Linked DNA regions of Drosophila melanogaster. The protein of the gene in region 1 interacts with the protein of each later gene in a pairwise test. Each region holds a gene or a part of one and is shown in the gene's direction. Other genes may lie near its edges.

What was found.
Region 2: the proteins of CG12766 (region 1) and CG5282 interact in a two-hybrid assay, tested with the Drosophila melanogaster proteins (one large-scale study listed by BioGRID).
Region 3: the proteins of CG12766 (region 1) and trol interact in a two-hybrid assay, tested with the Drosophila melanogaster proteins (one large-scale study listed by BioGRID).

Annotation. Positions count from the first base shown.
Region 1 is NT_037436.4:3,938,069-3,941,842, reverse strand, and holds CG12766 (uncharacterized protein), read left to right. Parts: upstream 1-1,717; 5' UTR 1,718-1,758; coding exon 1,759-1,836; intron 1,837-1,955; coding exon 1,956-2,123; intron 2,124-2,191; coding exon 2,192-2,364; intron 2,365-2,483; coding exon 2,484-2,628; intron 2,629-2,686; coding exon 2,687-2,884; intron 2,885-2,947; coding exon 2,948-3,148; 3' UTR 3,149-3,219; downstream 3,220-3,774. Other genes in the region: CG10863 (uncharacterized protein), read left to right, coding at 73-217, 274-471, 539-730.
Region 2 is NT_037436.4:20,423,912-20,427,693, reverse strand, and holds CG5282 (uncharacterized protein), read left to right. Parts: upstream 1-1,622; 5' UTR 1,623-1,734; coding exon 1,735-2,568; intron 2,569-2,620; coding exon 2,621-2,796; intron 2,797-2,849; coding exon 2,850-3,195; 3' UTR 3,196-3,270; downstream 3,271-3,782. Other genes in the region: CG5274 (uncharacterized protein), read left to right, coding at 124-223, 276-1,297; zye, read right to left, coding at 3,472-3,782.
Region 3 is NC_004354.4:2,542,416-2,547,079, reverse strand, and holds the start of trol (terribly reduced optic lobes), read left to right. Parts: upstream 1-1,652; 5' UTR 1,653-1,697; intron 1,698-2,171; exon of another isoform or gene 2,172-2,317; 5' UTR 2,318-2,456; coding exon 2,457-2,615; intron 2,616-4,664.

The DNA of each region.
Region 1 (3,774 bases):
TTACTTTTCTAATGCGGGTGTGCTTCGTTTGTATTTGCTTGACTCTTAATGACCAAATTTGTGCTATTACAGCGATATCGATTACCTAGACACCTGGCGCGAAATGGAGAAGCTCGTGGAACTGGGCCTGACCAAGAGCATCGGCGTATCCAATTTCAACTCGGAACAGTTGACTCGCTTGCTGGCCAACTGCAAGATCAAGCCAATCCACAATCAGGTGCGTCAATTGTGGTTATGCCTTGGGTTTCATATTCCTAATAGACCATTTTCCAGATCGAATGTCATCCCGCGTTGAACCAGAAGAAATTGATTGCTCTGTGCAAGAAGAATGACATTGTAGTGACCGCCTACTGTCCCCTGGGCAGACCCAATCCAGCAGAAAAGACGCCCAACTACATCTATGATGCCAAGGTGCAGGCAATTGGAGACAAGTACAAGAAGTCCACCGCCCAAGTGGTGCTCCGATATCTGGTAGGGATTACGAACTAGGTTTAATGAGAACAAAAACTCTTTATTAACATAATGTTTATCGAAATAGATTGAGATTGGAACCATCCCATTGCCAAAGTCCTCAAATCCCAAGCGCATCGAGGAGAACTTCCAGATCTTCGACTTCCAGCTGGATGCTGAGGATCATGCCATTCTGGATTCCTACAACACCGGAGAACGTCTGATTCCCATGACCCACGCCATCAAAAGCAAGAACTATCCATTTAACATCGAGTTTTGAGCTGGAAAGCAGGAGCAATGTTTGATATTAATTAAAGTGGTTGTTAAATCTGATATTTTGTGTACATATACATATGTTTTTTAAAAATAAACACCAATAATAATTATTTTTGAGATCTTTTTTCATGTTGAAATATTTATGTTTATTTTGGAGATTTTTATATAACAAGCACACTTATTTTTTTTTTTTTACATAATATCGCATTAGTTTTACTTTTAAGCATTTTGATAGTACGTAATTCTTCTATTTTAGTCTTATCACTTGAACTGTTTCTTATTTGCAGTCAAGGGTGTGGCAAATATTTTAAAGGGGCATAAAATATAATAAACATTTGAAGTCATCTATGAAAACAATACGAATTCATTTTGTGATTATATACATATAATCTTAATTAAACAATACCCTTTTTTGGACACCACTGCTGAACATTTAATGATTTGAGAGAGAGCTTTTGCTCGATCATTTAGTTTTTAGTGTGGGCTTGGCATGGAAAATTCCACTTAATCAAAATCATTTGGTCTAGTACAATTTCGCCAACACTTGTCTGAATTCAATTATTCACAACTGCAAGGCAGATTGCAAAAATGAAAAGCTATAAAAGGGAAGAGAATATAAACAAACCCACATGTAATAGGTAAATAAACAAAACTAGCGATAAAGTTAACCGAATCAGCTTTGCGCGCCACTCAACTATCAAGCTATCGATAAGTGTTTTTCAAAAGTGTTCCCACATATTTTTAAATGGGATTTTACACATGATTTGGTTTGGATCATTTATAAAAAATATGTGTTTAATTTATCCTTATTAAAACATTAAAATAATGCATTTAATATATTGGTTAGCACACTTAGAACCTACGCTCCTTGCGTCTCTATAAACTATTTCCAAGTTTCTCTGCCAGCTTGGCCGTGTTTTATCTGCAAATGCAAAAGGTCTTTTGAAGGTTCTATGGGCCCATTCGAAAACCTTATAACAGAGGTGAAGCGAGCAACCCAAGCATTCAGTGTTCAACTTTGTAACCGCGAAGATGACCGGGAAAGTGGAGTACTACTTCAAGCACAACGACGGAACCCATATCCAGGGAATCGGACTGGGCACCTTCGCGGTATGACATTGACTGGTTGATCATAGCATATCCGATACGGATCAGGAATGTCGCCTATCAGTAGCCGGGTTAACGTCATTTGAAGAACCGCTAACGTTATTGATGACTTGTGATTTCAGTCGACGGAAGGCGATTGCGAACGGGCAGTTCTCCACGCGATTGATGTGGGCTACCGGCACATAGACACCGCCTACTTCTACGGAAATGAGGCCGAAGTGGGTGCGGCGGTTCGGAAGAAGATTGCCGAAGGCGTCATCAAGCGGGAGGACATATTCATCACCACCAAGGTCAGTTGGCAAGTTCTTATAGCAGGCATATCATAAACTAATCCTTAAGTGGCCACATATTTCCGCAGCTCTGGTGCAATTTCCATGAACCGGAAAGGGTGGAGTATGCCTGCCGAAAGACCTTGAAGAATATTGGCCTGGATTATGTTGACCTCTATCTGATTCACTGGCCTTTCTCCTATAAATATCGCGGTGATAACGAACTGATTCCCAAAGATGCCAATGGAGAGGTGGAACTTGTGTGAGTAAAATGAATAATATATGAAATATTTCGAATCGATTGGCACTTACAAGTGATTGTGAAATGCGCCTTCTATTATCAGTAATCTTACTATGCCGTTTACTTGCTTCAAACTACAGAGACATTGATTACCTGGACACTTGGGGCGCCATGGAGAAGTTGGTTGACCTGGGCCTGACCAAGAGCATCGGAGTGTCCAATTTCAACGAGGAGCAACTGACGCGCCTGTTGGCCAACTGCAAGATCAAGCCAATCCACAATCAAGTAACTTAGTCACAGGATGTTCCCTCCAGTTTCTCAACTCATATTGTTCTTTCTGCAGATTGAGGTACACCCCGCGTTGGATCAGAAGAAACTGATTGCCCTGTGCAAGAAGAATGGAATCCTGGTGACCGCCTTCAGTCCACTGGGCAGGCACAATGCCGAGTTGAGGACGCCCACCTTTATGTACGATGGCAAGGTTCAGGCCATCGCAGACAAGTACAATAAGTCCATTGCCCAAGTGGTGATCCGATATGTGGTAAGGATTTTCGATTTAGGCCTTATGTTGAACCGGATTTCTCATGATGAATTCTAATTTCAGATTGAGCTGGGAACCATCCCGCTGCCCAAGTCCTCCAATCCCAAGCGCATTGAGGAGAACTTCAATGTCTTCGATTTCAAGCTGGATGCTGAAGATCATGCCATCTTGGACTCGTATCACAATGGAGAACGTGTTGCCCATGCCCGACAAGCCATCAAGAGTAAATACTATCCCTTCAACGTGTATAGTGCTTGTTTTTGATACAACAAATATATTTAAGTTATTATGATTAATAAATAAATAGTAACCCTTGTAAGGGAATGCCCAAAAGCAAGAAGATTTCTAACGTCATTTACAATCGGTAAGTATTTTTCGTAAGTGTTTTGTATATGTCTTTTTTGGCCTTATCATCACAAGTACTTCCCATTGATATTCACATGGATTGGTTAATAAATCAAACAGCGCGGCACTTTTTTGTTCCAGTCATTCAGTTTTTTCTTAGAGAATGTATATATTTCTTAATGCAAAAATTTAAAAACTGATATACTTTTACAACAAAAGTGAAAACTTTTATTTTTGATTGTATTTAAATCGAAGTTGTACCCGTATCATAATGCACAATAGAACAGATAATAGAAAATAGGGTAGCGGATCCATTATGAAAGTCAAGTTCTCGATAAGAAAAATATAAGAAGTCGATTGTTTTACCCAGCTAGCTGTGAAAATAGGAAATAATATGTTTGTATTAAAATCTACCAATGTAAATAACATTAAAAGCTTTTTCTCTGCTGCATTTAAAATAAAATTGAAATGATCAATGTCATGAATAGAAAAATGTTACAGCGAATATTTTAAATTTCAATCTCGCGGTATTTTGTAACGCATTA
Region 2 (3,782 bases), about 16 Mb from region 1:
TCGAGCTGCCAATCGGAATATCTGCCACCTCTAAAGTTCCACGGTTTGTTTTTATTTTTCTGTTGCATTACCATACATTCTTAAAAACCTGTCACTGCTTTGTACAAGATAAAGGACTAGAGGATGTCGATGTCGATAGACAGCAATAAGCTCTTGCTACGGAAGGGCGATATGAAGCTGGATAATTATCCAACTTGTGCGGTGGAGGCACTTACGCGACTGGGTAAAGTTGCTTATTTTAAATCCCAAGCATTTCTTACGCTTTAATTTTGCAGAAACATTGATTGCCAGCAGGAACAAGCAAAACATGGTGATGCAAATTATATCGGAGTTCATATTCCTGGAAAGAACCCCGAAGGATGGCGACGTGCGAAAGTCGCAGGCGCTGCCCATTAGCCAAATGAATCTGTTCCAGGAGTTCCAGCTGATCATAGCGCTGATTGAGTACTTTTCGCGACCAGGAAGAGATGCCACCCGCAACGCCATATTCCTGTCGCTCTTCGGAAGCCACTTGACACCGCAGCGATCCAAGTTGTTGTCCCGGCTGATCAGCACAGCAGTTTCCGGCTCCGTGGCCCCGCTGCTCTCCTCTGCCGGCACATGGATGCAACAGGTGGGGTGCAAGACGCCACTCAGCCTGGAAGTGGCCCAAAATATAGTCAGCGACTTTATCTCGTACTCCCGGAAAACCCCCGAGCAACTCAAGCAGCTGCCCATGGTGGGTCCGCACTTTGCGGCCAACTTTATGGTCGCCGTGGCGGATCTGTACCTCAATGAGCAGCGTTCGCCGACATTGAATCCACCGCCAGATGCTCTGCTGGACACCATAACCGAATGGATGATGGAGAATCCCACTTTGTGTCAGGCCTCGCAGCAGCCTTTGGTCCTGCCCGCCGGAGCCATAGCCATGCCCTTTACCACTCCCCTAGCAGGCCTGCTTCGATGGGTGGTCCTGGCGCCGTTGGTCTCCAACCGTTCCGCCTATAGCAATTTGCATCTATCCCTCCTGCGTGCTCTGCAACAGCTTGTCAGCAGTGGGGAATCGACAGCGCTGCCCAGTCAAGATCTTATGCAGATCGTGAAATCCCTGCAGAGCTACTGCGCACGGCTGGCGGAATCAAAAACCGATCCCCAAGCGGATGCCGCATATCAGAAGTGCATGGAACGCTTCGCCCAAGCAGTGCAAATCGCCCTGAGCTCCAACTGCATCACCAATCAGATCCAGCTGCTGTGCCTCTTGGAATCTTTACCTCCACACAAGCTGATGAAAATCGTCATAGAGGCGCACAAGAAGTAGTTAAATATCAAACACTATAAACGTCAGTCGGTTAATGCGAGTAATTAATCATTAAAATTAAAATGTAGCTTTTACAAATAGATCTAAGACGTTATTAATTAAACATTGAGTCGCTTACAAATCTTTTAAGCCCAAAAATGTTTGTTTGGTTAAAAGAAGAAAGGGTTTAACTATATTAAAAAACAACAATTTATACCGAATATTACATGTTTAAAACACTTTTATCCCGCTCACGCTGGGATGCTGCCATACTAAACAAAATAACTATCCAGCGCGCATGTCCTTGTGAGTAAAATGTGAACACTGAACAGGACACACAGGAAAAATCGATAGTATCCCAGTTTCGAGCTTTCGTCGCAGTGCAAGCTTGTTGAATTGAATCACAATCTACGGTAGGAAACCTCGGGTAGGCAAGAGTTTGGGAACCAGACGATGCAATGAATCCCGTACCGAGCCGCGAGTTCCTGGAGGTTCATCCGCTGCACCAGCATCAACCACACTGTAAGCAGCAATGTTTTGTATTCACGGAGATAGCGGACATCGAACTGCCCGCGGAGATAACCAAGTTCGGAGGTGGAAATGAAAAGATTAGGTGCTCCAACGGGGGCATCCCCACGTACAGCTCCAAGAAGGACTCCTGCAGCGAGTCCTCTGCGGAGAGACCAGAGAGATCACGAGGACGAAAGATTTTGCTGGGCGTTGGTGTGGTGCTCGTGTGCATTGCCATGGCGGGTGGTATTCCGCTGGCCCTCCAGTTGCGCTCTTCGTCGCTCCTGGAGGCCCGACTCGCCTTCATCCGCCGCCTGCTGACGGAGTCTCCACTGATCGAGGGCTCGTGGAAGCCACCGAGCACCATGAGCCTGAACAGCAGCAACCTCTTCGAGGTGCGACAGAATCACATCGGTGCTGTGCTCTGGCCCATTGCTGTGCCGTGCGGAGCTCAGTACTTGGATGCCGTGCAGCTCACACTGGAGGGCATTGATAGGGCCAAGCGGATTACCGCCGCCACAGATTCCATGCACATCGTCGAATCAGCTGATGAAATGGAGCAGACTCACATCCGCGGCGAGGTGGCTGTTCTCATGGGTATCAGTGGTGGCCATGCTCTGGGCACCAGCACGGCCGTCTTGCGTTCCATCTACCTGCTGGGAGCACGATTCGTCTCGATTACGAGCCTGGAGTGCACCACTCCTTGGGCGGCGGCAGCAATCCGGAGACCCGATTATCTTGTTGAGGAAAATGTTACGAATTCATTCAACGAATTTGGACAGGTGGGCACAACCATTGTGATAGTATTTATTCATTCATTTATTTCTTTTATAGACCATGCTCTTTGAGATGAACCGCCTGGGCATGCTGGTGGAGATTTCGATGCTCAGCGAGGCTGCCATGTTGGCTGTTTTGAAAACTGCCAAAGCTCCTGTTTTACTCACGAATGCCACACCGCTGTCCATGTGCAATAGCAGCAACATTGCTTCCATTCCAGACCACGTCCTCAGGTGAGCTTTCATTTAGTCCTATAGGACATCTCTTAATTGTATATATCCCACAGCCTATTGCCGGAAAATGGAGGCGTAATCTTGCTCAACCTGGAGCGTTGTGGCGATCGGACACTGGGCGTTCGCGAGGCCATCACTGCAATCAACTATGTGCGCAAGGTAGCCGGAGTGGATCACATTGGACTTGGAGGAGCTCCGAAGAGCTATGCCCTCCTACTTGCCGAACTGGCAAGGGATAGGGTGTGGGGCAATGCTGCTATTAAGAAGCTGGTTGGGGGAAATGTGATGCGGATTCTGCGGGAGATCGAGACCCTGAAGAATCGATTGCCCTTGTATGAGGAGTGGATTCCGCACGAGTCCATCGAAAGCAATTCCTATTGCCGATATCCCGAGTCTTAGAACCAACTTCTTTTACAGACTCAAGCGATTGTTCTCACATAATTACTAAAATATTTAATTAAATTATTAAAGTACAAGAGATTTGCTGTACACAAAATTAATAACCGTAAATAGGTAAGTGATGATACCCTGTCTAAGCATAATTTCAAAATTGATTCAAGAGATTACATTTGTACATAGTTTATATTTAATGAATATCATTCTAGGTAAATACATATCGGTGTATGATGATATTATAATATTTGTATGCCTTACAGTCTACTAGACCTTCAACGACTACTTCACACTGATGCCAGTTCTAACTCCGAGGGTCAGGGAAATCACTTCTTGTTCGGAATTGTGCTCCTGGTTGGACTCGCGCTTTATGATCCTCTTAGACAGGAGGTCATCCTCGTCAAGTTTCAACTCGCGCTTGACCCTCGAGCTCTCGACTTCGTCATCATCGAGCTCGAAGACGTTGTTGTCGGTGAAGGCCAATTGATTGATTTCATTGAAGAACAGAGTCTTCGCATTCCGAATGGTTCTATCGTAGCCAGGATCACTCAGTGGCGGCAGATATGTGGCTGGAATTCGGCTTGTGCCCCTGT
Region 3 (4,664 bases), on another chromosome or scaffold:
ATAACATTTGACTCCCTAAATTGAATGAAATGCTCGAGAGTGCACACATGTCTAAATATTAAATGATTTGAGCAGTTGAAAAAACAAGTGCTACGAAAGTCGAACAGATGTCATTGCTTTTCAATTGAAGAAAATATGTTCAAGAATCGCACTGCGACCAATAAAACATTGAAATGAATTTGTGCACAATTTTACTAAAATTTATAATGTTATCTTATCACTAATTTATAAACTTAACACCTAGGCAAAGCTCAATATTAAGCACGTATTTGTGTATTTGGTGTCTATCTAGCTAATTTCTCCAAGTGTATACAGACCATTGCCATTATTTTCAATAGCGTATTCAACAATTTTCTGCGTGTATTTTTAGTACCTTTTCTTATCTGCGAACGGAAGCTGTGGCCACTTGTGAGCGTTCACCATTTAAATATTAAATATATTTTACATTAGCAAAGGCGAAAAAGGGGAGGAACAGGGAAACGAACCTGAGGAATGGGCCAATTATTCCAGGAGATGGGGCCCTAAAAAATCGCAACGTGTCCATTGGTCCTCCATGTGGGGCGTCGGCATCCAAGTCCGGTAATTCACCCTCACGCATGCGTCATTTTCGGATGTCATTGGGTCAGGCGCCAATGGGAAGCCGCCTTTTTGGTGGTGTTGACAGGGGGGGGGGGGGTGGTGGCTAAATCGGCTGAAGGTCACGGATTGTGGCCGGTCCTATGGCCAGTTGACAAACCGACTTAACCGCCAAAGCCGACGAGCCCGAAATGCTAATATCACATGGATGTCCGTCCTGCCAAACTTGTATTGTGTTGAATATTTAAAATAGTGCTTTGCATCAATTTTAGACCGATGACTGCACATTTAAGATGATTTGCTCACATGGTTGTATGTATGTTTTAGGTGCGCCAAGAATTAATTGTCCATAAACACTAATATTCGTAGGAACAGCGAGTAAAGGCTATAAAGTTCGTGTTTCAAATACGTTTTCACTGGTGTTTGGCTTTCCTACGCGAATTGCATCAGCATTTTATTGGACTCTCCTTTTTTTTTGAGTGTCAAATTCAAAGAACTTCAATAAAAAAATGTGCGAGGAGAGCGCCGCTTTTCGTGGGAGTGAGTGGGATAATTTGCAAACCGGCTGCCGCAGCAACAACGAAAGGTGAAAAGAGAGCAAGGAGCAACGGTTTTCACTTGTTTATCAGTTGACCCAGAGAGCGAGAGCCACTTGGGCGGGTGTTGAGTAAAAAAAAATGGGGGAGGGGGGGCTTACTATCCAACTAAAGTGATAGTTACTTTTTTTTTTCTATCGTTACGGCCTTAAATGCTGCTTTAGCCGACTGGCTAAATCGCGACTACGCTCCGCAAATAAGGATGGACAGGCAGAGCGAGAGGAGAGAGAGCAGGCGCAGCTAACTCTGCGTAAGCGGACACCCACGCATGTGAGCGAGAGAGGGATAGAGGGAGAGGGTAAGGGAGAGAGAGAGTGCGGTGCATCGACGCAACAGGCTTGCAATGGCCATTAAGCGCCGTTAAACAATAACAAGAGCACGCAAATCGCTTCGGCTCCGTCGCGCTTTCGGCCTTCGTGCGTCTTCGGGCGACGCCGGCAGAGCAGAGGCAGCGATGGGAATCGCAGCAACGGTTCTTAGACATTAGGTTGCGCGCCATCGTTCCAGGCGGTCGCACATTCCACGGTGTGCTGTCCCTTTGTTTTCTGTGTGACTCTGACTCTCTTGTGGGGAGCGTTTGTCTTTTTTTTTTTTTGAGTGCTCTCACATCCTCGAAGTGCCGAAATTTTGAAAATCCCCGACAAGATATCCTGGTGATATCGGTTCAACGTTTAAACAAAAACCCAAGCCCTGCTCCTTTTTTTTCATTCATTAACTAGTGTGATCCCAAAAAGGAACCCATACTCGCAACGAATACGAATAGTGTCCATCGCGTGTGAAACGAAACTAAAGAATAAGGAATGAAACAAGAAAATAAAGCGAAAAGGCGGAAAAGCGAACAGAAAGAGGGGAAACAAATATCGGCTCGTCCAGGAGCGAACAGATGATCAAAGGGGATCATTCGGATTTTTCGAAGAAACTTCTGAAACATGACGGTTTCTCTGGTTTTTAATTCGGATTTGGTTTCACCAAAGCCAAAAAATTTTGCTGATGTCAAATCACCGATTTGCTTCCCCTTTTTCCGTGCGCGGAGAAAAAAATCCCCAGAAACATAATATCAGGATGCTCTCTATCTCTGTCTCTGTCTAACGCTTAATTGTTGCTCAATTGCGAATTAATGTCTGGGGCTTTTTTTCTCCGTGCAGTGCCATAGCCGTAACCACAACCTGCCAGCCGTTTAAAGCCAAACTAAACAAAACGAACCGAAACTGCCTTCACAAAGTACCTAAGCCAAACCTAAATAGCTGCCAAAAGAAACCAAAACCGCCGTTACCCGGAAAAGAGATGATGGGATCGCCGGGATCCCAAGCGTCCGCGATCGCGACCTCGGTCGGAATCAGAAGCGGGCGGAGAGGTCAAGCGGGAGGATCGTTGCTCCTGCGCCTCCTTGCCGTGACCTTCGTCCTCGCCGCCTGCCACGCACCGCTGCTGACCAATGCCAAGGTGAGTTCGACCCTCTTGTTGGGATATGTAGTATTATAATTATTACATTGCTATTTGAGGCCCAGGAATGCAGTTAACAATTTGATTAGTTCTATTCGGTGACATGATCCTAACAGCCGCTTACCATTCACATGACCATTGCCCATCAGCTGATGCACATCCCATTCGAGATCGGTAACCCAATGATCTCTTATTCCGGATGACACAACTCTGGGTTCCGCGACGAACTTGAACTATTTAGCATGACACACATACGAGTATTGTTTTTTTTTCCCAATAGGCGGGACAGACAGACACAAAACGAGCGCCACCAGTGATTAGCATAAAAATGTATTTATTGTAAGTGGTTTGGAAAATAGTTTTCCTCCACTCGCCATCAAATTAGGAAGTTGAGCCGGGCTTCGAGGCTTCAGGGTTTCGGAGCTCGGTTACGGACAATGTTAAGGACCGGATTTCGAGTTGAGCAGAGGCCAAAAAAATAGATCACCAAGTCCATTGGGCCGGGGTCATCATCGCAGGTTATCACTCTCTCGAAAAAACAGACGCTGAATTAATTTCTTTTCACAAATTCGGATCGAGTTCAGATGCTGGCTTTTGAATTTGATGCGATTGTGTTCGGATGGCTTTGCCAATTATTATGAGAAGTCGATTGTTTCAGTTCCAAATTCTATCTTTGTGCCTGAAGGAGGGAGGGGTCGCTGTGTGTGTGTGTGCGAGTGTGTGTGTGTATGTTTTCCACCATAATGAGCTTTGATGATAGCGCGTTATCAGCGTGTTAATGACATGTTGCCCACAGACATTTGCTTGCAATGAAATAATTTCTTTAATTAACATTTAAAATCACTGAACGTTTGTGAATGTTTCAATGGCTTTTGTGAACGGACGGCAGTACCTGCTGGACAATTCTGGTACTCTGCTTGATTTTGTCGAGCATGTCGTTTCCATTCGATTTGTTTTGCTGCAGCGCTCACACTTTTTATCACATCGGAAGTTGCGTAAATGAGGCCAAATTCGAACACATGTACACATACATACATACGGGGGCTATGTCGCCTGCTCAGGGCTTATCGGTGGGACTGGGACTGGGAGTGGGACGGGAATGGGAGCCACACTTTGAAGAAGGAACCACTGCAAATCGGACTGCAAACGAGGTCACTGCTGCAGCACGATAGCTCCATCCTCCGCTTTTGCCCATCCGGCGTATGCGTATTGCCGGTCATCGGACATTGCGCATACGATCAGGTGGCACGGTGCCCCTTGGGGCATTCGATATCGTTTATCTTGGGTTTTATTCGTTTTTAAATTGATAGCTGAACTTGACTGAAAAGCACATATGCTAGCTATCAATAATCAGTTTAAACACCATACGTTATGTCACCATTCCTTTCTTTTTGGCAAACTGTGCAACTCGCCACTGATTCCATAGTGTTTCTTGAAAGTCTGAAGCGCAAAGTACAACTCACTGCATATGGCAACTTCTGATGCTTCAAACTGATATTCGCCTGGCAAGCGAATTGTGCTGCTCTGTTTACATCGACAGATGGGTCCTCATTCGATGGCCCTTTTCCGGCTTTCCAAGGGTATCCGATCCCTCACCCCCCACCCTTCTTGGCCCTTGGCTTGTATATCGCTCATCACATCACGCCCCGTTGTGTGCCCCGATATCTGTCAAACAAACTGTCAAAATATTTGCATCATCAACAACACAACTGCAAAGCGAATAAGAAAAAAAAAAAAAAAAAAATTAAAGCACAAAACGGCAGCCAACAGATGAGAAAATATCATTTCGCAGCTTTTTTGACTCGCCCGTATCGTTTTGGTTTCTTTTTCAGCTTTTCGGATTATGTTTTCTTTGTTTTTCATTGGTCTGAAGATGCGTTCGTTGGCACATTCCCTTCGGTTTTCAGTTCTCCTTGTTTTTCGGTTTTCTGGTTTTCTTGTTTCCGTGGCTTCACGGTTTCTGTTTGTTTGTGCAACATATGGACACAAGATGTTGTACCCCCGATCACACATGTGACCGGCTGCTTGGCTGCCTGGCTGTTTGTGTAT